4 linked regions of the Alligator mississippiensis genome follow. The protein of the gene in region 1 purifies or fractionates together with the protein of each later gene. This does not show direct contact. Links are inferred from orthologs where the notes say so. Each region holds a gene or a part of one and is shown on either strand. Other genes may lie near its edges. The genes, in order: DHX8, PPIE, NKAP and CRNKL1.

Region 1 (7,632 bases):
AATACGTTTCATTGCACCCTGGCAGGAATAGATTCCAGAACGATACAAACACTAAAGCCACAGGACAGCAAACCCAGCGTCTCTGCTGCAATGTTGTTCTACATCCCCTTCAGACACTGCAGGGCTCCTTTGGCTACATTAGCATTTTTGGAATCTAAGCTCAACCAGAGGCTGTTTCTGTCTGCATCCAATTTGCATACTTATGTACTGTATCTCCATTCAAAGGTAATTTATTGTCCCAACCCCTTGGGGTGACAAGGTGTTTACTATCTGTTCAGCTCAACTGCTCTGGAGTTCAGGCAAATCAAGGCTATGGATTACTTGTCCATCTGCCTCACCCTCTAGCCATCAACATGAGACACTCTGGCTGCTGTATTATCATATTACGTGAAGCTGGATATCAATGCATGTAAATAATTCAATGCCTCCAAGAATAGAGTAGCGATTAATGAAAGGGTACTGGCTGTTGTTTGGGAGAGAGGGGATCAGCTGTTGCTCACTTTCTGTCATGATAATGACTTTCTTTATAAAGTCAGGAAAATTATACTGTCCTTTGAAGTCTAATGAGCCTTACTCAGCCATGGATATATGTACAATGGGAGGGGAGCTGCAAGCCCACAGCCCCTTTACAGCTGTCCTTAGACCAGATCAACCCCAACTTCTGCGGCTCAGTTAAACTTGGTGACGTACAGTGCACATAGCGTGCATATAGCTCTGGGAGGGGGAACCCACTAATGATTTCTTACTTCAGGAAGAAGAGGGCAATGGAAACAGAAATATATGCAGGAGTCTTATCCTCAGGTTAGGGTCATGTTAAGGTACAAAGAAAGTCTCAGTGAAAAAAAAATCTTACATTGTGGAATTTAAGGGTATCTGCATTTTTACTGTATTCACTACTCTCCCCAGTACGCTGCCCTCTTACCGCCCCAACCCTTTGTTAACTCGGAATAGATTCCTTTTTCATGTAACAGGGCTAGACATGAATCCTCTAGCAAAAGACAAAACAGGGAAGTAAAATTTCCCTGCACTGAGTTCTGGACTATGCAGCTAGCTAGTTTAAAGCTAGCTTTGCCTCTCTATGCTGCATTGCAGATGGTAGTATAGACATATCTATAATGTCCTAGTCTCTCCTCTTCTGCCTCAAATGCAATAGGAGACATACTTTTTTTTCTTTTAAACTGCTATTCAACTACACAGGAATGCAATGGAATCACTGCTAGGCCCACTCTTTTTTCCTGGGGGAATAATAGCCATCTTTAAAGCTGTATCATTTCAATTAAACCTCATGCATGCTAAGTAAGAACAGTTTAATACTTTCTCCTCCTCTTATACCTTGCAGGACTCTGCAGAGCTACCATAGTTTCATAGTTTCATAGTTGGTAGGGTCAGAAGGGACCTGAGCAGATCATCAAGTCCAACCCCCTGCCATGGGCAGGAAAGAATGCTGGGGTCAAATGACCCCAGCGAGGTGATTATCTAGCCTCTTTTTGAAGACCTTCACAGTAGGAGCGAGGGGTTGCTATAGCTACACTACAAATCTATTTAAGGGCTTTCTTTAACATCCATCACTAAACGGCATAAAGCATTTAACAGCAATCCTTACGGGCTCATGAGTTAAGCAGTTATACCTATAACCCTCTGAAAGTGGTAAGTATGCTCAGAACAAAATTCACGTGTTGTAAGGATTCTACACTTTATCTCTACTTTTTGTTATTTCTCACATTCCTTCCTATTTTGGATACTGGAGTAAAAGGTGTATCATTTATCTAGAGATCTTTCCACTGTCGCATTAGTTGCTGCTTTGTGGTGGGTTTGCACTCTACTTTATGCCTTCCAGTTTCAGGGTGCAGACACATGGCACGTTTACTCTGGTATAGTTGCAATTTACTCCAGAGGAAAAGTGGAACAGGTGCAGCATGCACAGCACTTACTCTGAAGGAAATATTGTTCTGTAGTGTAAAGTTGCTCCTGAGAAAATCAGAGCTAAATTTATTTCAGAGGAAGTGACGTAGGCATACATGCCATGTGGGTCCCTCCCATGGTCTGTTTCAAACCAGAGTAACCATTTGTTCAGTGCAAAATGGTTCCCACAGCACTTAATAGCCAGGTACTGTAATAGAGTCAGGGTGGATCCAAGGGAAGAGGTGCAGTTGCATCCCCCTTTGATTCCTGCTCCACCTAAAGTTTAAAACTAACTGTCTGGCAGTGGCAGCAGCATTTCTATTCAGGCAGTGGTGAGGATATCACTTGACTTTGTGGCTCATTATAATCTACCTAACTCCTTCTAAACTCCTTATTTTAGTTATTAACACCACTCTCTCCTTTGTGATGGTCTTAATGTTTCACTGATCAATCAAGGCAGGCAACGTTCTTTGGGTAGGTGTGATATCTTTTATTAGACGGACTGGGTAGTTGGAAAAAAGTTCTTTGCAAGCTTTTGGGCGCAATCACCCTTCTTCAGGCATTAGGGATTCTCTGCTGTTCTGAGACTCCAAGGAAGGAAAGAAGCTAAAACTGTGATAGCTTCACCCAACAAGGACACTTCCCCAGTGAGATAGATCATGTTTTTGAAAGAGTCACCCGGATACCATGGAAAGATTTGGTGCAGTAAAAAAAAGAAAATCACCACAAGCCGCACACCATTAGTTATGACCCTTCTCTGGAACCTACACAGAAAATCCTCAAGCAACTGCAAACCATAAGAAGCAGACCTAATTCTTAAAGAGATTTTTCCAGAACCACCTAGCCTTTAAAAAAGCACCAAACCTCACTAACCTCATCACAGAAGCAAACTCCTTATGACCCAAACCACACTGAATGGATCCAGACCATGCCAGGACAAGAAATGCAAAACCTACCAACACATCTCCACCACTCCCACAACAGAACCATCACCATTCCTGGATCTTACACCTGCACCTCCAGAAATGTTATGTTTTATATCTCATCCAGTACACCAAATGCCCTGATGGAAAAATATGTAGGAGAAACCAAATAACAACTGCACACCAGAATGAATGCACACTGTAAATTTATCAAAGGCAAGAACACCCAGTTACCTGTGGGGGCACACTTCTCACAAGACAATAACTCCTCCCTCCCTGATCTCTCAGTTCTAATCCTCAAAGGGAACTTACAAAACACCTTCTGTAGACGAGCCTACGAACTTCACTTCATAAATCCACTGGATACAAAAAATCATGGACTCAATACAGACATTGGTTTTATGACACATTACAACCTGCCAGACCTGACCTTTTGTGCTTTTCTTTCTCCTCCACTCCCCCCTCTCCCCTACTTTTCTACCCTTTGTCTTCCCAATTTCCAGCTATTTACTTTTTCATATTCATCCTCTTTTCCACCTTGGAAAACTATTAGAGTCTCCCATACTTACCTTTGGCTTTTTTTTGCTGTCATTTTCTCCCCTCCCTTTCCTGCTCTACCTTTTGTTTTCCTAATTTCCACCTATTTCATTCTCACTGATATCCTGTCACACTTTTAGCTTCTCTTCTTCTTTGGAGTCTTAGAACAGCAGAGACTCCCTATGCCTGAAGAAGGGTGATCGCATCTGAAAGCTTGCAAAAAACTTTTTTCCAACTACCCAGTTGATCTAATAAAAGATATCACATCTACCCAAAGAACTTTGCCTACCTATGTCCTGAGACCAACATGGCTACCCCCAAAAACCTACTAATCAATCCATGAACACTGAGTGCGCCCAGAGGCTGGAGTGGCATGGTGAGCTCCTGCAGTCTGCAACAGTGCTGTTGGGGGCAGGAGCATGGTGGTTGCAAGTGGGGAGCTCCTGCAGGCAGCCACTGCACTGTCGGTGGCGGGGGGGACCACCCGCAGACACTGCTGGCAGTGTTGGTGGCAAGCTGCAACTGCCCGCAGGTGACTTTCTGCAGGGGGTGCACCGCCATGCTCAGGGGGTGCATGTGCACCCGCATGCACCCCCTATGCATCACCAATGAATCAACCTATCCTTTCTTTTGCACCTCTTTTGTTAGCTGCTTCTGATAACGTAGCTTGTATTTCACAGCCCCCCGCCCAAGACTGTACCTAACAACATGAATTCAGGTGTGGAGATAACTTCCCACAAAGCACTGGATGCATGCTCAAGACGCTCAAGGAGGCCAGGTCTCATTTGCTGAATTTGAAAAAAAAAAATAGTTTCATTTCGATGACAACAGGAGTGATGAAGCAGCAGCTTTTGATTATTTTTCCTCGTTTGTTGCGCTTTTATACGTAAAGCACACACCCACACAGCCCAATAAAGCTGCATTTGTCTTTGCTTCAACTGAGCCGAGGCACAGCCATCCTGGGCTCCGAGCGAAGCTCGTCGTTTCTTTTTCCGCGGAGGAAAGAAAACGTGTGCTGCGCTGCGCTCCGTGAGGAGGCACCTCACCATCTGCACCCCCTTTCCCACCTGCCAGGTCCGTCCGGGGCCCGGGGAGCAGGCCGCCGGGCGCGCTCTGCGGGATGGCCGCCAGGGGGAGCTCCGAGCCAGGGTGTCTGGAGCACCCGGCGTCGCTGTGGCATGGCGGTGGCTGTGGGAAGCGCAGCGGCGAAGGCGCCGGCACAACAGGGGGCGCTCTGGCCCCGCCGCCTCCTCTCTGTGGCTCCCCGGGACCCGGAAGTGCCGGGCGGCGGGCCGGGCCGGGCCGGCGGCCATGGGCGACCTGGTGGGCGCCGAGGAGCTCGCGAAGCTCGAGTACCTGTCGCTGGTGTCCAAGGTGTGCACGGAGCTGGACAACCACCTCGGCATCAACGACAAGGACCTGGGTGAGCCGCGCGGAGCCGGGTCTGTTGTGTCGTCCCCCCCCCCCCCGCCCGGGCCGTCGTTTGCGGGCGCAGCTGGCCCGGCTCCGCGTTCCCCTTGCTGGGATCTGCTTCCCCCGCACAGGCTCCCCCACCTCCCCCAGTGCCTGTGGCTTGACAAGGGACCCCGCCTCCCTCAGCCCTCGTCGGCCCTCTGCCCCTTTCCTGACCGGTCGCCTTCCTTTTCAAGCCCCTTTGCGGCTGGGTCCTTTCCTCCCTGCGGCCCATGCGCTGCTGCCAAGAGATCAGTTGTGCTGATCAGGCAGCCCAGCCCCTCTCCCCCCCTCGCCCTCACTGCCTGCTCGGCACATTTCCAAGTGCTTCCAGACCCTTCCCCGTGTTGCCCCTGCACGCTGGAGAGGAGCTCTTTGTAAATGTGCACCAAAAAGTGCCTCCTTTGCTGCCAGGCCTAACACCGTGTTTATGTGGGTCAGGCAGGGGCTGTGCCGCGATCACTGCCTGTCGTATTGGTCAGTAGCGTCTCACTGTTTTCTGGCATGCCTTCACCTCTGGCTACTGTTTTTTGTCATATATCTTTGACTGGACCTGAGCACAGCAGAGTCCTGCTGCATGGTGGGGCTTCCCAGGCCCTGTTGCACTATAGATACTCAATAGTAATTATTATTCTTGGAGCTCAAGCACTTGGTGCTACGTTTTGGCCTCAGGTCCGAGCCATTGCTCAGTTTTCTCTCCGTAGAGCAGAGGGGATGTGGTCAGTACTTTCTATAGCCTGCACGTGACTAAAAGTAAAGTAAAAGTTGTAAAGTTGGGTTGCCTCTTCAACTACCCAATTTTACTTTTACATGAGCTTTCATCCTTAGAAGTTGGAATTGAGCACTTATCATGGTCCTGTGCAAGAAAACCACCATGAGTCCTGACCATATCTTTGGGGTTTTAATAGAACCTGGTGAGAGCTCAGCTCAACACTGCTGCTATGGCAGGTTTGCCAAGTCAGGTTTTTCTTCAAGTGATATACTCATGTGAAGTAGTGCCGCTGCAGGTCCTGTCTTTTGGAGAGCATCTGCCATCTTTCCCTGCTGGAAGGATCATTATGGCTCTTGTAGGAAATCATTTTTTTGTTCCTAGTAGAGTGAATTCTCATAGCTCATACCTTCCTTCCTGGATTATTTGTGAACCCTTTTGTAATTGAAGAGCACCATCTCCAGGCAGCTTTGTCAGTGTGTCACTAGAAGCTAAGGAGAGCCTGTGCTGCACCTTTCCCCTCCATGGTTTGATGTTGTTTAGTGACTGTACTTATAAGCTCTAGTCATGGCCTAGGATACCATTGTGTTCAGCCCTATACAGCACAGAAGAAAAAGATGGTTTTTGCCTCAGAGTGTTTACATGCTTACTTAGAAAATGAGTTCTCTCTCACCTAGATGTGATTCCTCCAGGTCTGGCTTCTCAAAATTAAACCAGAGATAGTGGCAAGACAAAAAGCCTGCCCTGCTGAAGGCTATGTTCCACCTTTCTGATGAATAGATGGGAGATTTCACTATTTTGGGTTGCCAAGCCAGCTATCTTTCGTCACAATGGAACATGTTTGAATCTGCTTCCATTAATTTTGTTTAATTTACTCTACTGCTTTTCCTTCACAGCGGAATTTGTGATAAATCTTGCTGAGAAAAACACTACATTTGACACATTTAAAGCTGTCCTTTTAAAGAATGGCGCCGAGTTCACAGTAAGTGAGATTTAGACCCTGTTGCATGTCCTTTCTTTATCCTGAGACTCTTTGTAAAAGCCAGTTTCTATTTAAAAAAAGTTACAAAGCTGAAGTGTTTGTTAATTAACATGCGACTGTTTTTACTGAAAAGTAGTTTGTGTATCTCGGCTTGCAAACACTTCTATCCAGCACAGGTTTTTTTTATTAACAATATTTGATATGATTTATATGAAGCACGCTGTAATCTTGAAGACTCATTTGGACTATTTGGTGTCTCATTGGTGAGCACATGCAGTGCAGGAAAATCAACTGGTGTGAAAACAAATATTTATTAAAATTTGTTTATGGTGTTCCAATATCATGCTGAAAGAGTAAAAAAAACAGTGATATGCGGGAGAGTAATTTAAATGGAATTTCATAACTGTTTTTACAATCAAGACTTTTTTTTGTGTTTCTGTACAAAAGAACTACACTTTTTATGGTCTGCACGTGAATTCCTGGACTACCCAACTTTACTTCTACATGAGTTTTCATCTTTAGAAGTTGAAATTGAGCACTTGTCACTGTTTTATAGTCTGTGTTAGTTTGCAAGAATTCCACAACGAGTTCTGAAAATGTCTTTGGGGTTGTTGTTGAATTTTTCAGGACTCCCTTGTTAGTAATTTGTTACGCCTCATACAGACGATGCGTCCCCCAGCCAAGCCATCTACAAGCAAAGGTAAGTGCCATCTAGCTGTTCTCAACAGAATAGAAAACTGTTTAATTCTTTAATTATTTGTTGACTAATCTGGATTTGACTGGGATAGCCTTCCTCATAGTTTTGTGGATGTGTTCCATATATCCTGTTGTTACAGCAGAAATTTGTGTGATTTGAGGTGTTAAGACAGAGCTTCTAGGCTACTGAGAGATTTCTTTTATTAAATGCAGGATTAAGAAAGTTATAATCTTTAATTAATTAGGCTGTCTTTTGTGGGAGATTATGTAGTTATCTTTTAATGTAAATATTACAAAATTTTCAGTAAAGCTAACATTTAGCACAAAGCTGAAGTTTATCCCTTTTTCAGAAATGACAAAGACAATTATTTTAGCCAAGTAATAAAAATAAACTTCTAACAAATTTTATGTATGCTTCTTTTGTTCTTAAT
Region 2 (7,936 bases), on another chromosome or scaffold:
ATCTGACAGGAAAAAAGCCCTTACCATGTTGTCAATAGCTGCTGCCGCATCCTAAGGCAAAAACAAGAAAGAATATTTTACTGCTAATTCAGCCCTGACGTCCCTCTAACCCTGTAGAAAAGGTACTTAGCACCTGGCCTGAAGTTTGGGTTTCATTTCACTCCACTGTCCACCTTTGGATCAATTTTTACCCACAGGTTTTCCTTTCTCCCCAGCACTAGCCCTGTAGCTTCCCGCTGCATCCGGCTAGGACCTTCTTAGTTATTTTTAGCCACAAGGTCTGGCAGCTGTGCAGCTTCCTCAATCCAGGTTTTTTTCCCGATCTGCATAAGATTCTGGTCATTTATCATGCTAATTTGGGGTCGGGGGCAGATCTTGGGAAGGGAGTATTGGACCAGGAGCAAAGGGCAGTTCATAGGGCCCATTAACCTAAAACATCGCTGTTAGCACAAGGGACTGAACTAGCCCTGGAGGAAAGCCAACAATGTGAACCATGGAGAAGCTTCTGAAGAAGCTGTACTCCAGTCCGAAGGTTGAAAAACTGCAGAAAAAAATAAAAAGAGAATCAAAGAGAAGTTGGGCTGGAAGGGACCTCCTGAGGTCATCTAGTCCAGTCCTCTGCTTGAAGCAGGATCAGCCCTATCCAAGCCATCCTATTCAAATCCATGGTCCAACCTCTTAGCAAAACTACAGTCAGCCCCAACACAACACCCAAGAGGTAACCCCCTAATCTGTGGAAGACCTCATAACAGTGGGACCAGAGAAGCAGAACAGAAATTCCACAGAGTATCATATAGAGCCAATAACACTAAAGAGTTAGTCATAAAGTGTAGAATCCTATTTCCACTTCAACCATAAAACTCCCATTGGATTCAACTGACACAGGATCAGGTAAAAAAAAAAAAAATAAAAAAAAATAAAGAAGAGATTTCAAACTGTGTTAAAATGTGCCCTTTTCTCACCTCAGCCAGCTCAAACTCAATGAAAGCAAATCCTCGGTGCTTCTCTGTGGAGAGACAATGAGCAGTTACCTTCACAGTATTACCAGGAAAACTTTGCCCCCATGAAAGTCAAAGCAGGAGAGGTCTGGTGCATTAGTTGGGCTACCAAGGGGAATCCACGTCTATGCTGCTGCCTCCATCTGAGAGTTTAGATTCTGTTTCAGAGACTTTCTTTCTTACCTGCTGGTACAAAGCTCCACTAACATCAAAGGACTCTATTATTTCTATCCTGCGGGAACATTAAACTACTCTTTATTATGATGTTAATGATGCTAAAATATCCAGCTAATTAATTCTCCAGTAATGAATTTTAACATTTATTTGTCCCACAGGGGGGGAAATACCACAAACAGGAAATCTTAAATGCAATCCTGAAATAAAGTCCCAGCACAGAGCAATCTGCAGCTATACAGAGCCTCATTGAAGTCAATTCTGTGCAGATGAAATTCAGTGCAGGGTCTAGGACCTGGCTTACAAATGATGCGAGGCATTGTTAAGCCCTGTGGGTTGCTAATTAGAAAATAAATGAATGCACACCATTTAAAAAAAACAAACATGAAAAACACACTTGGTTAATCTACTTGGGAAGCTGTAATCTAGTTGTAATTGTTCATGCAAACATTTCAGAAAGTCTTATAGGTTTGGCCCAGCAAAGGAGCTTTAGCAGTAACATCTGCTAGCAAATCTTTACTAAAAGGCAGGGAGTGGATGCAGGGGTGTGAGGGTGTTAAGCTCAGGGTGGGTTTTCATGATTCAGATACAGGCAACCCCCGCTTGGTGCTCTTAATTGATTCCTGAAAAACCGAGCGTTAAGCAAAACTGAAAGTTTTGGACGACCCAAGATAGCGACCGCAAGCGTTTTTAATGACTCCAGATGGCAACCGCAATTGCTGAGTGCCAAGTGAAACCAGATATCAATTTTAAATGAGCATTATAGCGATAGCGTCAAGCAGAAGTTGCCTGTACTGCTCTGAAACCTCTGAAATGGGTGGAGTTTGCTGGAAACCTCAAGCCTGTGAGGTTTCCCTCCTGCTCCCAAGCCTGCACGTGCATCCTGCAAATGCAGACCGTTTTAAGTGACAATAACGCCGATGCAGCAGAAAGATGCTGGGGTGCGATGTTTCAAAAGTGTTAGCGCCGGTATTACCATCGTACAGGGCTTCGTTTGTCCTTTTAGGAGTAATCAAACTCGCTCCCCAGGCTCGAGCTTCCAAGACTTCCTGGGACGCCGTGAACCCCAGAGCGAGCGCCTTGCGAAGGACATCCGACACTCCGCCGGGACACCGTAATATTACTCCTGAGGGAGACCCCGGCGCCCCGTGTGAAACGAGCCGGGCCGAAAGCCGGAGCCCACTCACCGGTTTCGTAGTCCAGCGGTATCTGGATGTCGGTGATGTCTCCGAAGGGGATGAAAGCCGCGTGGAGAACCTTCTCGTCCACCTCCTCGGCCAGGCCGCCTGCAAACCAGAGCGAGCACTTTAGCGGCGCGACGTGTATAATCACGAACGTTTCCCGGCGCCGAAGAGCAAGGGAGGCCGCCCCGCCAGCATCCCCTACCTGCTGCTTTCGTTCACGTCTCGTGGTGCCAAAGGCTGTTTTTAGGCTTGAATATGAATCCACTCCCCAGGGCCCACGAGACAGAGACAGAGACAGAGACAGAGACAGAGAGAGAGAGAGAGAGAGAGAGAGAGAGAGAGAGAGAGAGAGAGAGAGAGAGTGTGTGTGTGTGTGTGTGTGGGGGGGGGGGGGGGAGGCGCAGCCCCCTCACAACACGGATTTCCAAGCGCCTCTTTGAGGGCCCGTCGCAGGCACGAGTCCTGCTGCCTTCTGGCCTCGCACCGATGTTCACTCCAATATTCACAACTGATCCCACACGGCCCCCCACCCCGCCCCGGGGTCCCGCTCCTCACCCACGTACAGCACCCGCTTGGTGGCCGCCATCTTCGCTCCCAGCAGCCCCCGCGCGGCACCCCGGGACGTTGGGCGGCCCCGCCCCCGCGCAGCGCCGGGCGTCGGCCAAGGGCGCGTGCGCGCTTGCGTCACGCGGCAGGTGCGCCCCCCTCCCCGTGCGCATGCGTGCGTCTATACACACCCACGTGTAGGACAGGGGAGGTGTGCGCGACACGCGCGCACTCGCCCCTTCCGCGTCTGCACGTACGTTGTATAGCACCGGCTTTTGGGAGATTCGGCTCGTGTGTACACACACTACATATACACCATGCACACAATGAAGCTCACAAAAGCTTGTGCCAAACTATGTAAATATACAATATAGGTGTGTATCCACACCCACTGCAACAAGCTGTTGTGCTATATATATGGTACATAGATAACCAAAGGATGTGTGTGCACATGCACGTGTGGTGTATTTAATATATATGCATACACAGCTGAAGCTCACATTAGTTAGAAGTATAGACTCACCCAGTGTGTGCACACCTAGTATACATAATGACATCATCTATACATACATATGTAGCTGAGGTGTAGGTTGTAGCGGTGTTGGTCTAAGGACATAGGCAGACAAGGTTCCTTGGGTGAATTTGATATCTTTTATTAGACCAACCCAAATGGTTGGAGAATAGTTATTAAGCAAGCTTTTGGGTTCAAAAACCCTTCATCAGGCTAAAGCTTCAGCAGTTGGCATGTTCTTCCTGGATGGAATACGTAGCTGACACTCAAACGTTTGTGCTTGTGTGTGTGTCTATATACACATATACAGATGATGTCATTATGTATACTAGGTGTGCACACACTGGATGAGTCTATACTTCTATCATATAATGTGCATCTAGGAGGTAAGGATACACAACACACACCATAGTACAAACTTGTGAGCTTCAGCTGTGTGCGCTACCCCCTCCCCTTCCTTCAGTCTATAAAGTATAAATCTCATCTGCCCTGCCTTCTACCACTGTTATTATACCTAACTACCCATTGCTGAAAGGATAATACAATTCCCCCCCATCACCAGTTTTCTCTCACCTGTAGGTTAAAAATCTCTGACTCCAAAAATTATCCATATTTTTTTCATTGAGTTGATGTTTTGTGAGACCTGCGGCATAAACTACCTGGTACGGCTAACTAGGAGTTTGAGCAGCATCTAATGAATTGAACTTCAGCCCATGAAAGTTTGTGCTGCATATTGCATCTTATTTAGCTGGTCTGGAAGGGGCGTAGATCTACCCTGCTTTCTGCCTGCCTTCAGACCAATACAGCTAACTGCCTCTAACCAGGAGTCTGACAGTAGTTTCTCTGACGAGCTTCTGCGTAAGGCAGCTGCACAGCAGTTTGCTGAGGCATGGTTCGGATTAATCCCAAATTAAGCAAAGCAGCTAGGGCAAATTTATGAAGTGCAGTTGGAAAGAAAAAAAAATGCATTAGAAGTGGTCATCTCAAAGCAGCAGGTCCAAGGCACAAGCTGGATTTCTCAGGATATCTACCACTAGATTGCTCAGTTATCTAGGACACAGTATTGAAACTGAAACCTTCCTTCCTTGATTTTCAGCTTACCAACAGGAGACCCAAGGCACTGCCTTGCTGTGCTTCTGCTCCGCAAGCTTGTTCTATTCTTGGGCTTGGACACAGACCATTAAGTACCAGATTTCTAAACAGGTTTCTTGCATATTTTAACACCATGGTTTGCTCGTAACAGTGCAGCAGACAGGCAAAATGGCACATCAGTCTTGCATTTATACCCCCAAAATCAAAAGAACCATTTGCACTTTTCTAGCACCACTCATCCAATGGTCTCAAATGGTCTATAAACATGAATTAAACCGCTGCTCCCCTAAGCAGGCACCCTTATTTTACAGCGTTAACTGGTACGTGCTCAGCATTTCAATGGTTTTCCTTTAGTAAAATCTTCAAGTCATTGGACAGTCTCAATTCCTCCCTTCTGCCTTGATCTGGGCTGTGCTTGTGCTCTCCTGTATTCATGTTTATACCACACTCCATGCCAAAGGCTCACCCCAACGTCACAAAGCACACGCTAGTTCTACTGTCACTGAAAGGCAGCCATCTATCTCTAAGGTGCAGCATACACTTACCAGCGCAACACTACATTTGTGACTATTAAAAGGAAATGACAAGGTTCTAGGGACATATAGGGGTTGAAATACCACACAGAGATGAAGAAGAAATACAAAAGCTTAACATCAACAAAAACAAGAAGGAACTGTCAGATTGAAAGGAAGAGACGAAAAGAACACAAGACTTCTATGCACATTGACTTGGGTCAAGGGAGCACTGTTGATGGCCGATAAATACCTGTCTTCATGTATATTTCAGAGTATTGGGTGCATCTAACTGTTAAATTGGTTAGTTAAGTTGGATTTCTTAATAAAGTATTAAAAAGTGGCAGTATCCAATTAAAAGTGTATCTCAGTTCCTCCTACACAGTATGTAGTCATGCAGAATAAAAAACTACCAAAATCACTTCATCTTGTAGACTGCTGTGGGATTTTTAAATGAAAAGTGATCAATCAAACCCTGTTTCTGTGCTTAATCTGAAAAATGTTGCCCAAGACCACCTCAGAGGGCAGGGGTCCACTTAAATAAACTATCAGTTACAACCACCTTAGAGTTTCTTTGAAGATCCAAAACAGGGCCCAGTTTGAAGTCATAATTTAAAGTGGAGGTTTGGCCTAGCCACTTGTTAGCTTAAACAGAATAATAACAGGATTAAACATTTAAAACCACAATTCAATCAGACAGTAATTACCTAACAGTTTACTTCTGACCAGCAGAATAAATCCAGGATGGCTAAGCACACCGTGGGGAAGAGACCCATTTAGTGAAAGTTTTTATTCCTTTATTGATAAACACTTTCCAGATTTTGCAAACTGGATTGTTCAGTTAAAACCAAAACCACAAAAAACTTTCAATCAGAAATCCTTAATGTCCTGCTTAGAAAAGACAAAGGTTAACTCTGTCCTGGCCACAAAGGAAAAGCTTGCAAACTTAATCCTGGTCTTGGAAATCTAAAGCTTCATGGAATTGATTTTTTTTAAATAAGATTTTAAAGGTTAATTTACAAAATGCAATATGGTTATTTGGATATGGTGCATGGTGCGGAGATCTGCAGGACAGTTAAGAGTATCTTCAAACATCTTGAGCTGATGTCTATGAAGGGGCTATTTGGCTTCTTTGCATCCTGTGCGGGGAAAAAAGGTTAGAAAATTAGTTTGCTTTTTTTCCTGCCCCCATACAGGCATCTTGGTTTAGCGCAGACTGACAGTAATTTAAACATGACCAGCCCATTAAAAATTCCCAGATAACTTCTTATTCCTCTCACCGTGTAGGTTTCTATCTACAGTTGCTGATATTATCCACCTCTCCATAACATTATGCTGAAGGTGGAAATATGAAAACTTTGTGATGAGGGAATAATTATTGTTGCAATGTCAAATTATTGACAAGCAATGGCCAAGCTGCATACCGCACACTTTTACAACACGTATGCATGGTGTGTTTTCATTTTAAGCCAGTGCCTTCTAGAATGGAAGATTTCCCATAATCCTTTACTGCCAGTGCTCTGGCAGCAGTCCTGTAGAAAATGCCTTGAAATTCCTGGTAACTCCACACACATCCATATTAAAGAACTCATAAATGAAACAGTTGTAGAAAAGCATATGAACATCCAGTCCTAGTCTAAAGATACCCATCTAAAAAGGCATGGAAAAAAGAAAATCAGAGATTCTATAAGAATCACTCGGCAACTAGCAAAACCAAGAACCACACAGCAAGTCATGCCAAGCTTGCCAAGTCATGGTGTGCACTTCGGTGCTATTCTTGTCTACCTCAGGGTAACTGTCAGGACAAGACATGGACATTAGCAGCATACCTGGGTTTGGACAAAAATTGCTCGAGGCTGGTCTCATTTTGATGAATTCTATTCCCCGACACAGGTGAATGATTTAAAGGGCTTTATGAATTCCATGTCAGCATATTTTAATCTTCCAAACATGTCTGCTTGCTGTAAGGAACTACCTTCTTTTTTATGTGCTTATTTCTTCAAGATTAAAAGTGGAAGTTTCTATTTACAAGACGTAGTCTGGCATCCGATGCCATTATACCTAACCCCACTTCTTGGCAGTTTATATCCTCCCAAACTATATTCCAGTGAATCTAAGGTTAAGAAGTTCTAACTAACACACTCACCAGTCTTCCTGGTTTAAGAGGTAGCAGCAACCACGCCCACCTTCTGGGCAGCTTCTTTCTTGGCTTGGTGAGCCTGCAACACAGCAACAGCCTCCTCCACCTAGGGAAGACAAATTGCCAGGTAAGATCCATCATCTTTAACAAAATCACTCAATCCAAACTACCTTGAGAAGTGGGAGAATTTACCTTTGACCGGAGGGATTCTGGAGACTCCAGCATGTGCAGTAGCTCTGAATTGTCAATCTCTAGCAGCATTCCTGTGATCTTCCCCGCAAGGCTGGGGTGCATAGCTTGAATCAGGGGGAACAAGCGTTCTCCTAGGAAAGTAAAGTTCAAATGGTCTTTGCAGGGTGCTCTCACAGGTCCTTTGCAGCAAGTACAGCTAACAAGGGAAGCAGATAAGCACCTATCGAAGTTTTAAACTAGAGCAAACATTAGCTTTACATTTCCATGGCATCTAATTTCCATGCCCCACCCCTGATCTTTTTTTCACTACTAGTTTTTAGGGAACACTAGATGTTTTCAAGTCTAAGTCAGAATGCCCAACTACCATCATTTTTAAGCATCACTGTATCTACACCCAAACTACTGCGTGTAGGGGCTAGCAAAACACCCCTTATTTTCACAAAAAGGAGCCTCATGCATCCCAGTTGCTTGAGACTTTGTGCTTTAAAAAGCTCTGAAGTCAAATATGATAATGAGAAATGTGTTCAGCTCCCTCGCTGTGCAGAAGGCAGCAGGACTGACTTCCGAATCATCACTTACCCAGCATC
Region 3 (7,093 bases), on another chromosome or scaffold:
CCATTGGCCATCTGTTTGCACCTTCCCAAATCTGAAAGTCCTCCCTTTCATCCTTGCCCGTAACTCTTTAATTTTTCGTTAAATCGAGGAGGCATTTTAAGATGCAGTTTACATATGAAGAATTGCTTGAAGAACTTTATGTTGTATTTAAAAAACAAACGTATATTGGGCGCCTTGCACAATATGGGGTGTTTGATGGACAAGAACTGGGATTCAGGTAATCTTGGAAGCAAGAAGATAAAGATGCAAAAGCAACCGTTAATTTATCGATAAATAAATGCTTCAAGAAAAAATAATTTTTGAGGGGAGTTCTAATTATCATTATAAAGTGCAAATGTAAAGAATCAAATTATACGGTCTCTCAGAAAGAAGGAAAAAATCCCCTACAATACAGTGATAAAAAGACGACACATCTACATGTGCCCCTACAGCGCCATTGTTACTGCCCCACCATTTAGTGCTTCCTTTTGGAAGTATTAAACGACGGTGCGAGAAAAGTCCATACCGTACGGTGCTGGCGGTGCACAGTTATTTTTAGCCGCTACGTTGCTGTAGCAACGCGCTATAGCAAGGGAGCATGTTGCTACAGCAACATAGCTGCAACATCACAGTTTGTGTCCGCCGACACTACATCGCCATACCGTGTTGCTATGGTGATGTAGCGTGTTGCTACGGCGACATAGCATCTTGTGTAGACACACCCAGAAAGTGTCAAATGAAGCCATCTTAAGAGCTGTTTTCTCCTAAAAGAACTCAACGGAGAATTATTAGGGAATGAAGAGCTCCCTTCAAGGCTTGATGGGTCAGGAAAGTTGGTAGAAAAAAATTGTAGTGATAAACATTTATAATTTAAAAGAATATAAAAAATGTGATAAGGTAACGAGACAGAAACAAACCCCCATGCCCATGTTGGGACCAAGTGACATTTCAGAGGTAGAACCCTTAGTAATAATCCAAGTCTGACAGCAGTCTTATCTCAGGAGCATATCTCAGGATACAAATATGGTATCCAGGGAAATATTTTGATTCTGAAAACACTAGCAGACAGTAAAGCACTGATTTCCATCTGCCACCTACTTCATGCCCACTACTGCAGTGTTTTACTTAACAGTCAACTTTTTATGATTGCAAACCATGATTCAACTCATTAAAGTCTATGGGTGGCTTTCTATTGACATTAATGGGAACAAGATCAGACCTACCAGCTTTTAATGTACAGAGTATAAAGATTATATACCTCATCTGTGTAAAAATGCTTTGAAGCGCTTTACAAATGTTGGCCAGCTAAGCATCTTTATCTTCTATTAGAGACTAGCCAGGAGCACTAGGTAACTGAGGTCTCACGGATTTGTAATGATCGTGAGGCATGACAATACTTTCAGCAATGACAGAGCTATCCCCACGTAGCCTCATAAAGACAGATAACACAAGACTGTCACTCACAGCACAGCTCTGCGATCCCTCCCTTAGAACAAGTCATTCTTACATGAGAATATATTTTTACCTATTTTAATATACGTTGTGATTAGATTTCCTGCCACTTCCAGATGCTGCCCATAACACGCACAATGGGTGTGGAAACTGGAACAGTTTTCCATCCATGAACTAGCTGTTGCATTTATGCCTTACTTAATTTAGATCTATGTAAAGTGGCGCATGCCTTACAGTAAGGAGTACCATTATGAAGTGATTCTTTAGACCTGATGTTTACTAGATGTTGGGACAAAGCAAAGACTCTTACCCCACACATGTTTCTTTAAAAACATGGAGTTTTTTCTGAAGAAAACAGGTTCCATAAAGATTTCTTCCCTAATGTTGTAAATGAAAGAATGCTAACTCCACAGGGCAAAGAACTGCTAAAATGTGATGTTTGTGACATTTTGGATTATGACTACATTACTGATGCCGAGTGTATGATGCTGCTGTTTTGTAAGGATTAAAATAATAAAGAGAAAGTTAAAAAGAATACCCACACCTTCCGTGGTTTTCCATCTAACTGTTAAATCTGGGCTTCTATGGATTAATGAAAACCTCAGGGAATTTTGTGCCAGTGGTTTTTGTGCTTCAGTGCTGCTGTTCTATACGACTGGGACTGGCTGAAAGCCTCTGGTAACCCCAGGAGTGTTTACACCATTTGCAACAGCACTTCCCTGCATCGTGTCTCCACCCCGATTGGGAAAGGCCCCATTAGGATCAACAATATAAATCAGCCTCTGCAAACCATTAAACACTGATGAGCAGTTATTCACACAATAATCAAACTAAAGCTAATTCAACTCCCCTTACAGTCTGGCCTTGACTTTTTTCCTGCAAACACCAACAATATTATTAGTCAATGCTATTTGTGATGGTGGGATTTCTGTAGTGCTGATACCTCCCTTAGAAACAGAGTCAGAAAAAAACATCAGATAGAAACCATTTTTGGTTACATCAGCTGGGTTTGGCTCAAAGTTGCTCTGGAGATGAAAGGCTCCACGCGCCTAATAACTCCCCTTAGCCATCCAGCTCTCTGAATGGCAAATATAGGAAATACAGTAAATTCATTTTTTAAAGCCAAAGGTGCTTAATAACCAGCCTAGCTGTGTGTCTGCAGTGTATAGGAACATGCAAATTACCATTTTTTTTGGTGGGGGTGTGACTGAAGGGAAGTGAAAGGAGAATTGTTGCACCTTGCACTCCCACGTGCAAGTAGGAAGATTCAAAGTAATTCTGATTTTTTGGGAAAGGGAATTGCAGGGCCATGAGCTGTCCACTGGAAAAGTGCTGTTTTCCCTCATTCTGAGGCCTGTTCTAGTTGTGGACAGCTCCACAGATCCCATGGAGCGGAGTACAGCTGGCACAAAAGGTCTCGCTCGGGCAGCTTTTATTTTAAGAGCAACTTGAGAGATTAGCATTTTGATTCTCAGCCCGACTTGGCCTCCTAGGGAGAGTCCGGTGCAACGTGCTGCTGCACGGAGGTGGTTACGTGCACAGCTGAAGTCAGGCGGTGTGGCACCTTCGGCGTGAACTGCTTCAGACAAGCACGAGCTTTTGTAGGCACGACCAACTTCGTCACGTGCAAGGACCGGGCTGGCGGACTGAAAAGATTTTAGGGGTGCACATAGGAGCAAACGGAAATGTTTCCACGTGAAACGTGCTTGGAGAAGGAATCGTTTCAGTCGTGACCGCGGGGTTGGGGGCGCCTACGTGTCACCCAGCTGCAACATCAGACGCGACGCGAGGGCGCGACGAGGGGCGCGGTGAAGCGAGGCCCCGCTCCGAGAGGCTGGAGCGGATCACAGACGGCACAGGGAAGCGGGGCTGGAAGGGACCTCCAGAGGTCACCTAGTCCAACCGCCCGCCCGAGACGGGACCAGCCGTCTCCAAACCATCCCGCTCACCCCGGCACCCGAGACGACCGCCAACCCTGACGCGACACGAGATGCGGCACCCCGGCCTGCCGCGGGGCCCGGGGCAGCCGACGCACGCTCAGGAGACCCCAGGCCGCAGAGGAGGGCAACCCCCCCACGCCCCCGGTCCGTACCAGGCTGACCAGGGGGCACAATCCTGACCCCAAACGTGGCATGGCTCCAGCGCTAAGCGGAGGGGCCGGACCCTGCGGCTCGGGGCCCAGCGGGAGCATGGGCCCAGCCTGCTCGGCGCCTCCAGCCTGGGGGTCCAAACCCCCTCACACAGGCGGGGGGCCCAGCCAGGCCCACACCCTGGGAAATCCCCAGCGCCCGCACAGGCCTCGCCGCCCCCTGGAGCCCCCGCCCGGGGAGGGGGGGGATGGGGTGCCCCCTCCTCATCGCCAGGGCAACGGGCGCCTCCTACCTGGGCCGTCGCCCCGCTGCGCGCTCATGCTGCCGCCGTCGCACGCGGGCCCGGGAGCGCGAGGCCGCCGCCGCACAAAGGAGCCGGCGCTGGGAACCCGCCGGGAGCGCCTTGTTGCGCGGCGGAGACGCCGCAGGGGAGCACCCGGAAGTGGAGCTCCCCGCCGGCCGGAAGGCTTTGGCGGTGACACCTGGGACGGCCGGAAATGGGAGAGCGGGGGTTCCGGTCCAAACCGGAAGTGGGCCTGCCGGACGGGTTTGCTGGTGCGCCACCCGGAAGTGCGCCCCGGGCGGCCGCCATGGCCCCGGCGTCGCGGTCCCGCAGCCCCGCCGCGTCCCCAGGTTCCCGGCGCCGGAGCAGCCACGGCCGCGGCTCCTCGCCCAGCCCCTCTCCGCCCCGCCACAGCCACGGCCACGGCCACGGCCGCCGCTCCCGCGAGGCTTCCAAGGCCCCCAGCCGCCGACAGGGCCGCAGCCGCAGCCGCTCCCGGCCCCCGGCCTCGGCTCACCACGGCCACCACCACGGCGGGAAGCTGTGGCCCGAGGACTACGAGAAGGAGAAGGAGGAGCTGCTGCGGCAGAGGCGAGCGCGGGCCCCGTCCCCTCCCCCGCCCGCCTTAAAAAGGGAGCCCCTGGGGAGGGAGGCTGCACACAGGAGCCCTCCAGGGACGTCACCCCATTAAAGCGAGTGTCCCGGGGGCGGGGGGACAAGGGAACGGTTTCCTTGAGCAGCGCGTGCCAGAGAGGAGCCCGCAGAGGTGACGAGCGCACGAACGTGCAGCCAGTCTCGGCTTGTCCTCCCCGGGGCCGCGCTCCTGGTCTCGCAAGGCGCAAAGCTTTCTTGGGGACCCACGCGCGTGATAAAGCCACTTCTGCGATTTGTTTTGCACTGGATTTGTTTTGCGTTGTAATAAATAGCGTGTCTGAAATGACTCATTTGGACGATTGCTCCAAATTCCTGAACGGAGCTGTTGTGGTGTGACCAAAACGCCCGGTTTATTAGGCTGCACAAAAAAACGGGCGTGTGCCTCCTTCTAGGTCTGCCTTGGTTTTCAAGACAGATCGGCCTGTTTTTGTACTGAAGACAGACCGACCCCTTTGAGGACTGAGCAAAACAAAATTCAGTTGAGTCCTGTTCTTAGATGTAGTGTTTGGCTGTGGAATTAAAAAACAACGTGAAGTGTTTCCATTGAAGAAAGGGTGTCCCCTCATCATGTCTGGCCTGGGAGATTAGAAATGCTAGCATGCAGAGATACAAACAACTCCGCTTTTGAATGTACATTTGGGAAGAATAGTACGTGGGAATTTAATGCTGATGTGGATCTTCACAGGAGACTAAATGAGAGAGAGAGAATTGGAGAACTGGGAGCACCTGAAATCTGGGGGCTTTCACCAAAGGTTCCTGACCCAGAGTAAGTAACATTGTCTTGTGGTTGCTCCCCCTTCTTTCTAGGACCCTTGTGTGTAGTAGTGTCCCCAAATAAAGCTATTAATAATTTAATTACTTCAGTATATTTATAATTTCTATTGTGTATCTTATGTCAAGCTAGAATAAAACTTTACTTACTATGTCAGTTAAAAACATTTAAGTATTTAGTTGACCTAATTCTACTCACTTTGGTTTTCTGTTTGTTTTGCTTTTTTAAGGAAGTCCCGTTACACACATCAAAAGATCACTAGACTGATATGATCAGTTCATGATATTTCATATAATCCCGAAACACCCCTTGGAGAAGACGCTCATATGTTGTCAGTCAGATTAGGATTCTTTAGTAGTGTTTTTCTGAAAGTGACTTGTATATTTTAAATTGGCTGCTTAATGGTTTAATTCATGACTGACTCTGACTCAGTCTCTGAATCTATACACATTTGGTCATGTGCTTGCTTTTGGATAATTATATGATCTTTGCTTTAGATCATAATAAGTTAAACTCTTTGTTTCTTCTCAGTTCTGATGAGCATACTCCAGTGGAAGATGAGGAGGCAAAATCTAAAAGCAGCTCTTCAGATTCCAGCTCAGAAGGTATTTAATTTTTACTGTCAAAATAGTTTACATATTAATAGAACTTCTCAGGCTAGTGCCTGATCGTGTTATTTGCAGAGAAGTTCATTGACTTCTTGTAGATTCGGAAGCAAGCATGATACCAAGATCAAGAAGGATTTATGAAGCTAGACTGTGCTCATCTGGTTTGTAACGCTCTCTTTCAGAAGAGAAAAAGAAGAAGAAGAAAAAGAAAAAGAAGAAAAAATCATCAAAAAGGAAACGCAAAAAGCATTCTGAGGACAGTGACAGCGAGTCCGACTCTGAGCTGAACTCCAGTGGTAAGAAAACAGCTTCTCTTGGTGTGTATCATCTGAAACCTTCTCCTGTATGTTTGCAGTCATGGTCAGTAATGCGCCTGCTTTTTGTTTGGTATCTTCCTGATGTCCTGAGGTTTTGTTTCAGTTGCTTAATCCGTGTTGTGAAGAATAACCTGTAGGAGATTTTGGTAATTGTGTCCATGTCTGCTTTCAACCTTAACTACTTCGTGTTCTGTTTAAGAATCAAGTGTAACATTTTCCTAGTCCCTCTTCCTCTTCTGATTTCCTTACTGCCTCTTACATGTGGAAAAGCCTGTTTTTGCACTAAGCGATCACTCAAATCTTTCCTTAATACACCTGTAATATAGAGTCTTTCAACTTATTACAGCAGTCTCCTAGCGCAGAAGGATCATAGCTCCAGCTTCAATGCATGAGGTTTGGCCATCAGGGAATGATACCCTGGCTGTAATGTAGGCCATTAATTTTCAGGTCAAGTGTGGTAGGAACTGGAGCAGACTGTGTGATACTACATGTACCTGCTTAAGCATTATTTCTAGGGGTGCCCCGATAAAGATTTTTTGGTCAATACCAATGGCTGATTATTAACTAGCCCTATTGGCCAATACTGATCCGATAGCCAATGCACAGCCCAGCAGCTTGAAGAGCAGTGTCCGGCTGGTAAGTCTGTGGGGAGGAAGGTGTCTGTGGGAAGGAAGGGATGTGGAGGGGCCAGATTGAGGCTGCCACAGTGAAGGAGGGAATGGGGCTGGAACAGGGGCAGGTGCTGTGTAGCCAGGGTAGGGCAAAGCCACAGGCCGGGGGTGCAGGGTGGGGAGAGAGGGGGTGGTTCTCACTACTGTGCACACCCCTGGGGGAGGTATGTGCTCCCCAGATTTGTGCATGGGGTGAGGGTGAGCTGCCCGTTGCAGACTTGGGGTCAGGGGATGCATCAGGCTCTTCCCGGCAGAGGGGTTGGGCTG
Region 4 (7,212 bases), on another chromosome or scaffold:
ACCTATGTTGGACTTAGTATCTGATCATAATATTAGCAATAGACTAGACCAGGAATTGGCAGCCTACAGGCTGGATCCAGCCTGCAAAGAGGTCTGGATCTGGCCTGTGGTGGCATGTAGGATCTACAGCACGCAACAGCTTGCCCTGACACCTTCCCCTTCTCTGCCCTGCACCATGCTGCTGATCCCCTCCATAATGCCCCTTTCTGCAGCTCTCATGCCTGTTAAAACAGCCAGTGCTTACTCTCACTGCCAAATTCACCCCTCCTCACTGATGTTTCAGACAGCAAATCTGCAGCACTGGAAGATGCAGGTAAGTGGAGGCAGCAGCAGGGACACTATGGGAAGGAACAGTGCAGCAGGGATTGGGAGCAGCCAGATTGCAAGCACCAGTCCACTGTTTGTAAAAGGTCGCCAACCCTTGGGCTAGGTAACTAATTATAATGCCGTGGCAGTAACACTGCCCCTACTGGTAGCCTGGAGGATTCCATTTTCTTATTTCCATTCCACTACATCAGGTGTGTCAAACACACCGCTCAGGGGCCAGACTGAGCCCCTGGCGCCCACTGGACTACTGGAGTGGCCTGCCACAGAATTCAGGGTGGACATGGCAATTGGCAGCAGGAGGACAAGGAGAATGCTGGTCCCTGCCGCATGTCCTGTGCTGGAGCTACCACCACATGTGGGATGGGACATGTGACAACTGTTCCAGCACCAGACTGGAGCTGCTATTATGTGCTTTAGGTCAGAGCTCAGAACTGTGACCACTGCAATTTTTTTTTTTTTTTTGAAGGAAAAATTTTTGTGTTCCAGGTTAAATTAGCCAGATCAGTTCCAAATCCCTGGAATCATTCAAAAACTTTATGTGGCCCTATTACTGGCAAGTATCCTCCACCAAGTCTGGGGCTTCAGATACTTCCAAATCCTTTGGTAGGCATCCTACGTGCAGGCACAAGCCCGGAAGCTTGGGGTTCAGATGCCCCCATGTTTCACTTGCTCCCAGCCATATGGACGCAGAAGCAAGCTACAGAAGAGTCTCCCATGAAGGCGATGTGTAGCTGTGATCCTCCCACTGGAAGCTGGTCAGTGGGAAGCTAATTATGAGCCTCCCATAGGGAGTCCTGTCTGCAAGCAGATAGGGGTGCATCCTCCACGACACAAAGCTGTAGCCAAGGCTTGCTCCAAGAGCGACCACTGTTGCTGTAGTTTCTTCATATCCTGGGATGCATCTGGCTTGCAAAGAGCCCTGTGGTCTGGATATGACCTGGGGCACAAGGTAAGTCTGATACCCCTGTTTACACTATTTAAAGCAAAAAATAAAATCTGCATTTGAGTGACTTAGGTACAGCCATGCAAAGGCTCCAATCCTGCACTGAGCTCCACACAGGCAGCTCCTGTGCACAGGCCCCTGCTTAAGTGCACCAGCCTCTACGCAGGCTACGGTGGAGCGCCCATGACATCGCTGGCTCCCAAGCAAGTCTGCCCAATTGGGATGCAGGGCAGGAGCCTGGCCCGTGCTTGTCACCTGGTGCCACAGCAAAGGCAGAAGCTGCCAATGGGGCCCATGCTGCACGTTACATACATTACACAACAAAGCAGTCAATTGCACAATAAATTCAGCCCAAAGTCGTTATCACAGCAAAAAAAGGACTGTCCGGCTTTAAGAAGAGGTAGCCGCTTACAATGTGAGTGCTCGAAAATGTGCAACCACTTGACAGCTGATTTCTACCTGGCTTTCATTTGAACCTGTGGCAGGACACTGGGAGCTGGAGCGGCAGCAGCAGAGGCCATGACTCCCATGGGGACCTCTCTGGCCCCAAGGCCGGCCTGACTTGTGCCTTTTAGTGACCAAACCCCAAAGCTGATGTAGAAGAGTTTACTGAGAGGCAGTAGCATGATTTATTAGCCCGAAGAAGCCGTGGCTGAGAGACCCAGCCCTGGCCTAGCTGTGACAAATCTGAGGGTCTTAAATTACCAGGTCTTAAATATGAAATTATCGTATTGGAAGCTCAAAATTATTGTACGTGTTTAAAAACCTATTGTACACAGAAAAATATGGAAATAAGTATGCAAATAAATGTGATTTACTCTATACTGCTCCTGGTAACTTTCCAGGGAGTGAATGAGAACTGGGTTAGAGTCGGAGCATTTCTTTATTTTGAGGGAAGCCATCACAAGTAAGTGCTGATAGCTCAATTGATATGATCTGAATCACTTCTTGGCCTCTTGTGGGCTAAGATCAAGCAGCCTTTTGCAAGGACAGCATCTGAATCGCAAGACCTCCAGGCTTGAGCCTGCACGCAGGACACCTGCCAATAGATTTGGGAGTCCACAAAGTCCCAACATGAGAGGCTGGCATGGAGGATGCTACCACCATACATAGTGTTTACAACTATTGAGCTCTACCTGCTCAACCCACACTGTTTTGGGCATGACTGAGTTCTGCCCAATTGATATGATACAGAGCTGATTTGACCTGGAACATTAAATATATTAATAAAAAAACAACAACCCAAAGGTCAGTTGTCTCCCCGAGAGCAACTTGGGTTTTGCATCAAGGCGCTTCCTCAAAAATGAGTGTGCAGTGTGAGCACATTGACTGTGATTGATGGTGCACCCTACAAGGGTTGAATGAAGGTACAAATCCCATCACCGTGGAACTCCTGGCAGCGGGGGGGGGGGGGGGGAAGGAGGCGCTGAGACGGCCGCTTGCGTCACGGCACCCTCCCCACCCCGGTGCTCCAAGCTGCGCCCCCCTCGCGGCAACACGCACTTGGTAGGTCCCGGCCGCGGGCCCGGGCCCTGCCCCTCCCACCACCCCGCCGGGCTGCGCACCCCGCAGGAGCGGGGGGGGGGGGGAGGGGCAGGTCACGGACACTCTATCCCCCCACAGCACCGCTCGCGCGCACCTTCGCCACTTTGGGGATCCGCTGCTTGCCGGCCGCCGTAGACGCCATGTTACCGCCTCTCCGGGCCCGAGAGGCCTCAGCCCTGACCTTTCACCTCCGCCCCGCGCGCATGCGCGGAGTCGCCCGGGTCGTTGCCGCGGTAACGGCGGCGGCGCGTCTCCCGCGGCTGATCCGTTGCTGCGGCTGCGACCGCTCCTGCGTCCTCCCGGCGCCGCCGCTCGCCTCGGCTCCTGCAGGGCGCCCCGCCCCTGCCCGCGCCGCCCCAGCAGCCCGAGGGCCGGGCACTCCGATCTGCTCCATCCTGCCGAGGTGAGTGACGCTGTGGGCCGCGAGGATAGCAGCGGTCTCCCCTGGGCTCGCGCCACGAACTGCATCCCCCAGCATGCCGCGCGGGCCGGAACTACCACACCCAGCATGCCGCGCGGCACTCCTGCCGCCCAACATTTCCTCCCTCTCCCCTCGGTCGTCCCTTGTGCGACCCCTCGCGCCCGCCCGGGGCACTGCGGGGCGGGGTGATGGGGCCCTCCCTGGGGCGGTGCTGCCTAGCCATTTCTGGCTTCCCCAGCCGCAGCCTCCTCCCCTGTTGCAGGTCTGCGCGGCCAGGCGGGTGCTTGCCATGTAGGACTTGGGAGAGGCAGCTTGCCCGATGAGCCTGAAGTCAGGCAGGGAGAAGTACACTTTATAGCCCAGCTGAGCTGCCCTCAGCAAGAGTTTGCTCTCTCATGTGCTCACTTGAAAAAAAGGCATCAAATGGGAAGATGTTAGGAAGAATTTTCTCACTAGGAGGGTGGTGAAGCACAGGAACAGGTTACCCAGAGAGGTGGTGGAAGCTCCATCCTTGGAGGTTTTGAAGACCTGGCTAGACAAAGCCCTGACTGGAATGATCTAGTTGGGGATGATCCTGCTTTGAGAAGACTAGACTAGATGACCTCCTGAGATCCCTCCTAACCGTCATTTTCTTTGATTCTACAATAGCCCTGCATGTGGGCCACCCTACAGATATAGTGCCCTCACATGTAAAAGTGCAGGGATGCATGGCTAAGGAGAGGGGAATCACAGTTGTGGTGGGGCAGGGAGACCCACAGCATTACTAGAGGCCCCTGCCTCTTGCTCCTGATGCCAAGTTAGGAGAGGTGCCAGGATTACCCACCACCCTTGTGGAGTCTGAGCCTCAGCAGCATTGCCTTCCTGGGAACTCTGAAACAGCTTGCCTGCTACTGCTTTAAGAGCAACAGATGAGGCAGGCTGAGCACAAGTGGTGACAGCAGCAGCTCAGCTGGGATGGTGTAGGAGTCCCAGCATGGGTAAGGCTGCTGCGCCCCAGCTCTCCTTTTAGAACTTTGGCCCCCTGTCCCCCAACTGTCAGAGCCTGTGCACCAACCCCTGCCTTCCTCCATGCTCCCCCGTAGAGTTTCCCCCCAGCTGCCAACTTTGTCATGCCGCTGAGGCGGCCTCTTAAGGAATGTAAGAAGTGGGGATTTCCCTTTGCTTATTAGCAAATCTGGGTCTGCCTGTCAGCCATCCAAGGAGGTTGCACCTCTGCCCTCAGCAGCATTGTAACTGCTGACATTTTTCTTACACGGTCACTTGTTTGCCCAAGTGAGCATAATTGGTTCTGCAGATGCATTCTTGCTAGTCTTCCTGTAATGGGAAACAAGTCCATGTGAGCCTGTGTTAGTGAATAAGGGATGTGACATTAGTAGCCTTTAGAGGATGTGTACAGTGAACGAGTGATGGTAGAGGCCTTTATTTAGAGGGTCAAAGTCTCTGACCAGCTGGAAGAGAAGATACGGATAAAAGGCCTGGGAGAGAACCACTGCCCTCAATCTCATAGATTTTCAGGGTCAGAAGGGGTGCCAGGCAGGCAGTATCTCCATGGAGACCTGCCAAGGACCCCTGCAGGCAGGGCATGTTATGTTTTGGTGGTTGGCATGGGGCTGCGGGCAGGCGGGGAGCAGCGTCCAGGAACAGGATGGGTGGCTGGGGCCAGGGCTGAGATTGTAGGGTGGTAACAGCATGGGGCAGAGCCATGATCCACTTCTTAAGTGGTCCTCCAGCCCAAATAATTGCCTACCCCTGATTTAGTTGGTAAGGTCTAGTTCTACACAATAAAACCCATGACTGTGACTTGGATACTGGGTGGTTATAGGGGCCTTCCCACAAGTATGAGCATCTAGGATTGGGACCTGCGATGCAATATGGTATTGGGAAGTTGGGATGAGGTAGGGGCTCCTGTCTCTATAAAGTGTATAGAAATTATAAGATGAGATGTGTCAGGACCCAGGGCAGCGGCCAGCAGCTCTCTCTGACTCTCACCCGGGCAGATAAGGGTCCAGGGCCTTAGAAGGCTGTCAGGTGGGTATTTGTGAAGCTTGGAGTGGAATTAATTAGGCGGACGCTTATCGGTTGTAAAGCAAGATTATTTATTTATGCCATCAAGGTGGTGAATAGCGGAGGTCAGAGATACTTGGTTAGTTATAGCTTAAGGTTCGTAGGTCATAGGTCGGTCTGTATAAGAGTTCGTTGGTCGGGCAGATAAACGGAGAAAAAATCGGGCCGGCAGGTCATTGATTTACGTCTGATAAGGTCGAGACGGGGGAGACTGACAAGTGATCAATTTGTCAGTTATTTTTACGCATACATTTAGAGGTTTTTTAGGTGTGTGTGCGGAGGTCTCCCGTTCTTCACGGAAGTGAAGACGGGTTTTATTTGTATATTAGCCAATTGTTTTTTGTCACGTCATAAATTTAATGAGAATCGCCAATTGTATAGTGGTTTTTATTAGGGTGTTTGTCATAGGGACACTCCCCTGTCATTCCGACCAATTGTAATGATTTATATAAAGCAAAGAAGGCAAAAGTTTTTATCTCTGTTAGTGGCGCAGTAATAAATTTCTTTTTGCATGCGCAGCAAAAAAGCGGTTACTATCATTATTGTTAACCCTTAGTTAACCTAGTGTAGAAAAAAACTGTTTTGAATGGTTTTACTTGTTTGTGACATGGGCACTATTTAATTTGGTTGTGACATGTCCCCTTGTCCATGGCACAGCAAGTCACATCATGTTTATATATAGACCATTTTGTTTATCATTGTTAGTGTTTGGCAAGCGAGTGTATATAAAAGCAAAAAGCGTGGTTAACTTAGTTTTGAGATATTGTAAAATCCAACAACTAAAACACACAAATATAACAATGGCTATTATGATCCATGGTAAACACAAGATAATCAAAGATGCCGACACTTGAATTAACTTAAACGCAGTAAACTGTTATTTTTGATTTTATGTAATTTTTTTTAATTCGATTTTTTTAAGGTAACTGAGAGTGAGGTATCAGATTAATGCCCCCTATACGGAGGGTTTTTAAAATTGTGGCTTATTATATTTGAGTTAAATCGTAGCTCTGAAAACACCAATTTTTTGTATTGTCATTAGCGGCTTTTTTTTATTGTCACCTCTCTTCTCAAACCATTTCTTTTCCTCTTCTTTGAATGTATAGGTTCCTTTAGAACCTTGACTATTTGTCCCCTTTTATCATCATCTCCCTCATCTCTTTTTTTACGTTTTTTTAATCAATGTTTTTGTCTATATCCGACTTTTTTGTGACATCCCCCAAACCTTCAGACTATCAATGTTGGGGTTTTTTTAATAATTTAGAGCTTTTTATTCAAAACATTATGACTTGGTTTTATTGCGTAAAGTCTCAAACAGGCTTTAAAACAAAACAAACAAGTATGTATAAGATCATTAACAGGAAAAGAAAAACCATTAAATGAGTCATTAGTTATGTCTTTGGCCTAAAATGACAAAAGGTTGAGGACCGAGTTGGAGGTTTTGAAGTCAGCTCCGTTCGCCGAAGAAACTGTTGGTAACAGCAGGAATAGAGCGACGACCCTGCTTGCAACATATGAGCAGGGGCGGTCATTGTGTCGTCGACTCAGGTGTGCTGCAGATTGGTGTTCGGTGATTTTTGTGATCGGGCAGTCACAGATTGTCTCTTCGTCACCGCTGGGCCTGTAAGGGAACAAAATAAACGAACAGACAAACAAACAAAGAAAACTAAAAAATAATAAAATTGTCTTTTGTATATCTACGAGCATAATGTCGTAGTGGTTGGAATAGTTTATAGATGCCCCCTTCGAGTAGTTGTTTGTTGGGGCAGGCTGCGGTGTTATCCAGAGTGCGCTGTTAGGCGTGGGTGCCTCCGGGGCCCGGACCAGTTGGCGGGATCGGTCGAGGTTGGTAGCCTAGTATATGTGTCAGTTGTCATTGTCCCGCATCTTCTAGGATGTGCAGCCGTTGTTT

The links.
Region 2: the proteins of DHX8 (region 1) and PPIE purify together in Homo sapiens (affinity purification with mass spectrometry; 3 studies listed by BioGRID and IntAct, counting the BioPlex papers as one, with this or other methods). This does not show direct contact. The link is inferred for Alligator mississippiensis from reciprocal best matches to the Homo sapiens genes DHX8 and PPIE.
Region 3: the proteins of DHX8 (region 1) and NKAP purify together in Homo sapiens (co-immunoprecipitation; 3 studies listed by BioGRID and IntAct, with this or other methods). This does not show direct contact. The link is inferred for Alligator mississippiensis from reciprocal best matches to the Homo sapiens genes DHX8 and NKAP.
Region 4: the proteins of DHX8 (region 1) and CRNKL1 purify together in Homo sapiens (affinity purification with mass spectrometry; 3 studies listed by BioGRID and IntAct, counting the BioPlex papers as one, with this or other methods). This does not show direct contact. The link is inferred for Alligator mississippiensis from reciprocal best matches to the Homo sapiens genes DHX8 and CRNKL1.

The regions. Positions count from the first base shown.
Region 1 is NC_081827.1:152,956,912-152,964,543, forward strand, and holds the start of DHX8 (ATP-dependent RNA helicase DHX8), read left to right. Parts: upstream 1-4,632; 5' UTR 4,633-4,673; coding exon 4,674-4,785; intron 4,786-6,419; coding exon 6,420-6,505; intron 6,506-7,132; coding exon 7,133-7,205; intron 7,206-7,632.
Region 2 is NC_081829.1:4,837,328-4,845,263, reverse strand, and holds the start of PPIE (peptidyl-prolyl cis-trans isomerase E), read right to left. Parts: upstream 3,005-7,936; 5' UTR 2,943-3,004; coding exon 2,912-2,942; intron 2,753-2,911; exon of another isoform or gene 2,559-2,752; intron 2,478-2,558; exon of another isoform or gene 2,459-2,477; coding exon 2,360-2,458; intron 1,007-2,359; coding exon 963-1,006; intron 52-962; coding exon 25-51; intron 1-24. Other genes in the region: PABPC4 (polyadenylate-binding protein 4), read right to left, coding at 7,177-7,263, 7,350-7,480, 7,929-7,936. UniProt on the Homo sapiens protein: Involved in pre-mRNA splicing as component of the spliceosome. Combines RNA-binding and PPIase activities.
Region 3 is NC_081831.1:72,523,302-72,530,394, forward strand, and holds the start of NKAP (NF-kappa-B-activating protein), read left to right. Parts: upstream 1-4,083; 5' UTR 4,084-4,111; coding exon 4,112-4,395; intron 4,396-5,143; coding exon 5,144-5,224; intron 5,225-5,761; coding exon 5,762-5,835; intron 5,836-6,020; coding exon 6,021-6,134; intron 6,135-7,093. UniProt on the Homo sapiens protein: Acts as a transcriptional repressor. Plays a role as a transcriptional corepressor of the Notch-mediated signaling required for T-cell development. Also involved in the TNF and IL-1 induced NF-kappa-B activation.
Region 4 is NC_081824.1:229,712,473-229,719,684, reverse strand, and holds the start of CRNKL1 (crooked neck-like protein 1), read right to left. Parts: upstream 3,016-7,212; 5' UTR 2,958-3,015; coding exon 2,910-2,957; intron 1-2,909. UniProt on the Homo sapiens protein: Involved in pre-mRNA splicing process. As a component of the minor spliceosome, involved in the splicing of U12-type introns in pre-mRNAs.